Linked DNA regions of Schizosaccharomyces pombe. The gene in region 2 interacts genetically with the main gene of each other region. Each region holds a gene or a part of one and is shown on either strand. Other genes may lie near its edges.

What was found.
Region 1: mutations in SPOM_SPBC1348.01 (region 2) and erv46 together harm fitness more than expected from each alone (negative genetic interaction), as found in Schizosaccharomyces pombe (one large-scale study listed by BioGRID).

What each region holds. Positions count from the first base shown.
Region 1 is NC_003424.3:211,203-215,346, forward strand, and holds erv46 (COPII-coated vesicle-associated protein Erv46), read right to left. Parts: upstream 2,322-4,144; 5' UTR 2,005-2,321; coding exon 832-2,004; 3' UTR 512-831; downstream 1-511.
Region 2 is NC_003423.3:3,514-7,351, reverse strand, and holds SPOM_SPBC1348.01 (uncharacterized protein), read right to left. Parts: upstream 1,902-3,838; coding exon 1,412-1,901; intron 1,354-1,411; coding exon 1,034-1,353; 3' UTR 523-1,033; downstream 1-522.

The DNA of each region.
Region 1 (4,144 bases), on a different chromosome or scaffold from region 2:
TTTCACACGTAAATCGAAAGCTTTTCTAAAAGTGATTTATCCAAAGCAGCAAATTGTGGTTTGCTATTTTTCGAAACCGTTTCTATAGGATCACACCGTACAAAAGAGCGCTAATTGTAAATGTATGTATTTGGAAAAGGGAAATTGGTTTCCAATGGAAACGATCGGTTTTCCTTGTGGCTTCTAAGACGTATGATTGTCGGTCTCGGGGTTATGCTTATGGTAGAAGAGCGTGTATGGATATGACAACTCATACCATTCCGCTTGGCACGATCTTCCTTGGAGTGCACTAAAAAAAAACTAAAAAAATTTTGATCACTCGTACTACAAATAATACTTATTTTTATTAATACTTTAAGACAATTCAATTCATTTTAATTTCCTTTTTATTTAAAATGCTATAGAATCAAGACAATACTTTAGGTTCGGAAAGCGAATATATCTAATACTATATGTCCTTGTAAAATTGAATACACCAGATAGAAAGATCTTTATCTTTGTATGTTTAATTAGAAAGAAGACGAGTTTAACATTAAAAGAAATGAATTGAGATGTAGGGAAAGAAAGTGCGTGGTTCGTATGCTCTTCAATGTGAATATAGCGAGTGGTTGTTTGCTAAACGAGGCTAAAAGCAATTTGTGATTGATAAGCGAGTCATGAAATATCAAGTGGTATCAATTTGGAATAGTATAGGAAATAGAGTATCTAAAGTTACAAATCAGGCACTTGCCATGGAAACCGATGGTATTTACATTGATCGATAGGACCAAACAGAAGAAAAGAAAAGAACGAAAAACAAAACAAAACAAATTTAGTGCATAAACAATCTGATCAATTTTTCTTTAACTTTTGAACCTCATAATAGCCTCTATCAACAAACGAAGCAAGTGTAACGCAGCCCCCAAGCAAAGCTAAAACATTACTCAAAAATCCACCAAAGGTATTGCCACGTACTTGACGTTCAATAACACGCATAGGACTAATATCAAATTGAAACCATACACCAGGGATTCCGCCATGAAAGTTAACATGGGTAGGGACTTTTTCTTCACGACCGCCACGAATAGAACGTTCATGCTGTGTGACAGCATATTTGTTTGTGTCTATGGGAAGTGTGCTCTTAGACAAAGGCATGAATTGGTAGGAAACGCACTTAATAAAATATTCGTAGCGATAATCGGCAGTGCTTACCTTTTTCACTGTTCCATCTAAAGGATTGGAATAGTGGACAGACGCATCTAAAGGAGGGCCGAAACTAAGATGATGGATGGAGTGACTCATGTCATGCAAATCGAGTTCATTAATGTAGTCACGTGTATCATGAACATGCTGATTTCCGTTTTGAGTAGATCGTCCAGGAGCAATGTGGAAATTACCGGCCATTCGATTGACGGAGAGCTGACCAGCCAAGTTACAACCTTCGACCTTTTGAGCTTCATAAAGCTCCTTAAAGTTTTCATCTTTACACTGTTTAAAGGCATCAACGTCACCAATTCGCCAGTGTGCCTTACCGTACGCATCTCGAACGGCATCACAGGTATTGCAACAACCTGGGGTATCTTCAGGAGCAAAGTCGGCTGCCCCATAACAATCACCACATTCAGCGGCTCCGTCGTCAGAAATAGATTGTTGATTTCCAATATCCAAATCATCAACGCTTATAATTTCGCCCGAAGGGCTCAACCTCGTTTTAGAAACGGTATGGTGGATGTCACGCTGGAATTCACCACTGACATCCAAGACATCGACAGTAAGTATTTGACAAGGGATACGGGGGAAGGTGATGTTAAAATTGATTTCCATTCGATCGCCATGTGAGGGATTGACGATGATTTCATGGACTGCGATGACTCGCCTGTAATTGATCCATTCCATGAGAACAATAAAAATGACAATAAGTCCGGAAACGAGTGTTATAAGACCGCCACTAGCAGTTTTTATGCGAGCATCTTCGACAGTTTTTTGAAAGGCATCAAAACGCCTAAGGGGTGAACGGAATTGCATTTTTTGAAACTATCGGTCGATAGATACGTTTTTGTAACAATAATACAGAGGAAAAAAACGATTATATGGAGAAGCAGTTCTTTGAACCAACTTGAAAATACTTTTTTTGGATTAAAGGATTAGAAGGGCCCACCTCAGTGGTTCCAACTATGCACGGTTATGTTAGAGCTTTGTGAAATGCTGACCACCAAATCTTATATAAAATAATGTGCTTGAACTTGAAAAACGATCATTCCCAGAATGAAATATTTGGAAATTGTCGAAACAACTTGACTAAGGGGGCTTGAGGTAGTCGGGGAAAGTATACGTTGAGGGTCAACCCAAGCGCAGGACTAGAAGTAGGTTAATAGACAGAGGTGCAAAGAGGGATTGAATTAGTTTGACAGGGATTATGATTGTTTATTGAAAAATCAGATATATATGGGTTCAAATGGAATGTATTCTAAGGGAGCCTAAAAGGCGTTTCAGTTTTAACGTGGAGTTTAATGTAAACGCCGAGGAAAAAGTAGATCAATTAACTAAAAAAGAGAAGACAAATAGTAATTTGAAAGGAAAACTCAGTGTTATTAAGTACAACTCAGTGTGATTGAGTAAATATAGTTCAAGTATAAGTGCGTATACGTTCCAGGTATTATTGTCTTTAAACAAAATCTAAGTATTATTGACTAAAAAACAATCCAAGTACTATTTAGCAAGCACAATCCGAACTACCTATTGAGTTTACACAGTTTATTCAATAAGCGCTTATGCGATCTAAGCACTTTCGAATAAGCGCTTGTTGAATAAGCGGAATCCAAGCTTCTCTAATATAAACCTAAACCAAACACTATGGGATAAACGCAACGCTACTACAAATTTTTTTTTTTAGCATGTCTAATACGGATACCATCAATGTATGACTCAATTTCAAGCATCACCGTCGCCAACACTGTTTAACCAAATACCTTGTATACTAGCACCGCTGGTTTCGTTATGATGCGCAACTAACAAGAAAGATGTACAAGGATGCCTTGTAAATGGGTATTTGGGAGACACAGGATCCGGCAACTTGTGCGATTTGATGAGTTTCCCTTGATGTACATCAGTCATTATCCTATGTCTTTTCCCCATTTTTCGCCATCCTAAAAAAAGCTTAATTCATTATTTGGTCAGCAATCGCAGAAAAGACGCTCCAACACACTCGTGCGTATGGCTGTTCTCCATATTGGGCCAACCTTGTTTCGCTGACTTCTCATGGTGCACTATGTATGCCTAAGTAATTCACAACCATTCACAATACGAAGTGTAAGCACAGATCGGGTTTAGGAAAGGGTAATTGTAATCACATGAGTGCATATCCACACAAATGTCAGAGGAACCTCTCGTTACTCCTTTTCCTCCTCATTCTTTGCCTGCAAGGAGAGACCACCTTTTGCTCATTCCCATCATAACCCTTTCGTAAATGTACTAGTTGGAGGTTCCTCCACCTTTTTTATCGACCAACACTCTCTGCCCATTCGGCCATCCGATATCTACTCGACCGTCGCTTCCAATCTATCTATCCTCATGTACTGCACTTGGCGATCCAGTGGTATGGAATTTCGGAGCTTGATTGAACTTATGGCAATCATCATCAAATCATCAACAGAGAGCACCGAATATTTTTATCTAGGATAACCTGAAGTGGCCCCCAAAGAACCCAAACCCCCACAACCTTCACCTTCCTAAGTAGAGTCCTTCTTAGGTGTACATCCCAATAGAGGTTTTGCAAGGCAAGACACACAGCGCTTGTAAGGTTGGTTATGCTTGTATGTTTTGTTATACTGCACTTGCGCTTTTATTTCCACCGATGCTTTTGTAAACAATTGGACATCATAAGCAAAAGAGTTTTTTCTTTTAAGGGATAAATAATAAATTGAATGAATGGATCCATTCATTCAATTATTTTTTTCCCACTTGCATTTTCGTTGACTAATGGATTCACTGACAATTACTTGCTTGCTAATCAATTTCGGCGATTACACACTGCCTTATTTTCGCATTCCCCCGTCCAGGCGGACTTTACATATTTTACTGAATTTGTGTACAATTGCATTGCTACTGCTGTGTATCTACATTCCGAAGCGATATTGTGACCGTTTCCTTCATCCAAATCTTTTTT
Region 2 (3,838 bases):
ATGATTGAGTTAATAACGCCGTTGGTAATATCCCGAGAATACAGAAGCTTTTTAAAAGAAAAATATAGCAAAAAAAAAAAAAACTGGTAATGACCAGTGGATAAAGAGATAGCATTCGTTTTTTTTTGAATTTAGCAATTATTAATTTAAAGCATAGATTGAAATTCAGCATGTACACTACCAATCTTTTTTTTTTTTTTTTAATTTCAATAGTTTGTTTTTACGATTGCGAGCAAGCGCCAGAACAGATTATAACGTAGAAAATTCAATTCGTCTAACTTATGTCCTGCAATATTTTCGCTTAGCAAGCATACACCACACCACCGTCCAACCATTATCGACCTAAAATAAATTCTGTCATTCAAGGTTGATCACTCCTTTTAGGCAAGATAGATAATAAGACGATTTGTTATAAAACTTTCTTTCTCAAATTTTTCTGGTCTGTCAACCATTTAAAAGTAGTCCAAAGATTTAGAATCTTTTACTGTTTATTCAAATAAAGCTGTTTAGTATTTTGTAATTTGAAAATTAGAACGATATCTATAATCACTAAGCGAATAATCACTAAACGAATTATATTTCAAACAAAGCCTTAAATTAACTCGAAGCATTTTCGTCATAAAAAATTGAAACCAAATTGTTTCTACTAACAGATAATGAATAAAACTCCTTTCCTGTAGTGAATATGACGCTGAATTTTGGGTTAAAGTAGATGAAATGGAGTTTTTGAAACACAAGTGGGAGTCCAAATTGGTTCAATTCGAAATTTTTTATTTAATATAATATATTTTAAGCTTTTAAAAAAAAAATATATAAAAAAGTCATTTTTAGTATTTGAATAATTATGAAACGAAAGATAAAAACATTAGTTACATTAAGTGATAATATCTTAATTAAAACCATAATTTGGTTTGGTTCCATAATTGAAATTCATAACGAACGCACCTTATGTGCATGATTTGGACAGGACAGTCAATTCGAACATTGTTAAGAATAGTTATATTCTATATGATCATGAAAACGATAAAGAAAATTATTTTTTCACAGGAGTAGGCATATTTTGTAGTTCTATTTGTTCAATATCAGAACCAACTGTTGTTTCTGAATGTAATGCTGTTTCTCCGTTATGTGTAGGAAGAGTGTTAGAAACACAGACGTCTCCTGGTGTCACAATTTTAAAGCCTAAAGACAATATTACAAGTTTGTAAAGAGCCCAATGACCAAAATACAAAAGGCCAGTTATAGTTGCACCCAGGGCTGCTATAATCATTCCCAAGACTGCTATAATCATACCCAAGACTGCTATAATCACACCGGTCACCCGTAAAGCAAGTACCGCAAACTCTGCAAAGACTATTTTAAATTATTAGCAAAAAAAAAGAAAAAAAGCATCACTATAAAGGAAACATACAAATTAAACTAAGTAACATTAAAACAAGCAAACAAACGTAAATAGCAATAGGCACCCAAATTTCACTGTAGAACCGATTTTCATTTATCCAAATTGAAAGAAACTTTTGGACTTCGAACTTTTTGTCTACTGCGAATACAATGATAATAGACCAAATAATAAGCAAGGGCCAACGAAAATTACTGCGGGTAGAAATCCTTCCATCAGGATAATAGCTATTGTGGAATTTAGAAAATTCAGTAAAAAGGTCATTTAAAAACTCTTTTATTTTATTTGTTTTAATATTCATCTTGTCTTTTTGAGGCTTAATGGTGTTGGTAAAGAGGGATTGTCGGGATTGTCGAGATCGTTGAGATTGTTTGTTTACCTTTTCAGGCTTACACAAATCAAGTCCCTGCTCTAGGTCCACATTACAAACATCTTCCACCATAAATAACTCATTGTAACCAGGAGGTTCAACCTGTTTTTTCAAGCTTTCTGGATTTGACATTGGAATAGAACGACAGCACTGTAATTTGATGACTTCTGATTCACTAGTATTTTTCCCCAAAGTAAAATTAAAAAGAGTGGTTTATGGAAAATAAAAAAGAAAATATACTAAAATATTTTAAGCCATAAACGAGAAAATTAAAAAAAAAAAACCAAAATGGTGAATGTTTTACGTTCTGAGGTGTCTCATTTATTTAGGAAAAGCATTATGATGTTGGCATCTCGTAATCCTTACAACTTTTTTCTTTTCACAATTTAACAGCTACGCAGTTTGGTATCTGTTTAACGATACGTTTAAGTACGATGTGTTTTCCTTGTGACCTAGTATATTACAGTACACAGTAATACAAGTAGCATCTGCTATTGATATTTTTATATATGAATTAAATTGTTACCTAATCACTAAAGTAGCTGTAGCTTATTGCTGAACCTCGTTCTTTATTTTTCAGTTTTTCTCAATTTATAGCATTTAAAAATTTTTCTAAATATCCTGCATAATTAGTAATATGTCTATCTCTATAACTCAGAGTGGAAAGTTAATAGAGCAAATATAGAACACTTGACGTATGGTGTTATTCAACGTAGTAGTATTTAGTAGTATTGTTGACCTACATACATTGTATAGGAGATTATGCTTAATCCAGGGGATCATACAAAGGATTATCCTATAACCCTTATTTTCGTTCCGCAGTAAGTAGGTGTTTGTATGCTCTGAGGCTTAGTAATATATAGCGATCAAGAGAACGTCAATATCATAGAAATTTGGAACTATCTTCATCCTCTTTTTAATATTTTACCGATGAGATTGCTATTATTAGTTACGTTGCTATCTATCGTTGGTTACACTAATCAGTTGCTTTCCAACTGACCTCGAAGACGCTCCAGCTGTAATCTGGGTAGCCCAATTTCCTCCAGATAACACTACACAGCACTATGAATTCAGATATATCGTAAATGAATTATATAATGCTAGCAAGATGACTGCATTAATGAACCATATATATATCGATAATCCGCTTATAAGCAATTCAACTAATAACGTTACTCACGAGTTATTGATTGATCTCCATGAACTTTATAATGACGGAGAGATTTCCAGGATAGTTCTACTCAGAACTTTGGTAACTCAATCTGCGGATGATGCTACATGGATAATCAACTTGACAGATGATGTGCTTAATGGATTACCACTGCTGAAGAAGCGAGACCGATACACCACACAATGTCATAGTACAAATATGGCAAGCACATATGACTGTGACACTGGAGCCAATGCTGTTGGAGCCCGAGGTGGAGCCACGTTAGCAGCCGACTATAGAGGTGATTGGGGGGGGTAATGTTATACAAACCTTTGGTAGTAAAAGCGTGTCTTACTGAGATCTAGCATGTGATGTTTTGGCTTATTATCGATGATTGTTCTCAATCAAGAGCAAACACCCACCCTGAAGTATCAGGCGTTATACCTGGTTCTGCTGGAATGCGTAGAGTATGTGTTAGTGATAGAGGATCTGGGTGTTAATATTGCATCCCATTGTCCATAATAAAGATCAACACTTGAAGTTTTAAAACAATTAAAAACAACCCAAGTTAATTGTGTAAAGTTTAAATTGGAAATGTAGCATAGAGGGTAATACCTACGATAAATGAAGAAAAATGAAAACTTATAAGGATTAAGAGAAGCATTAACTTCATTGTCTTAATAGTATAGCGTAACTGTTGCAAGATTGACAGCGATATGTAAAAGTAGTATTTAATACAGCAGTTAAAAAATGTTCAGTCCCTTTAATTCCGGTAAAGCATTCAGTCATCCTACTAAGGAAAGATTCACAGAATCGACATATTGATTGTTATTCCTTCCAACTGAAGCGGCAGCTGACTTTGTGTACTACTGGTGGACTGAATCTATCATGATTAACAATTTCTTTATAAAGTATTTGA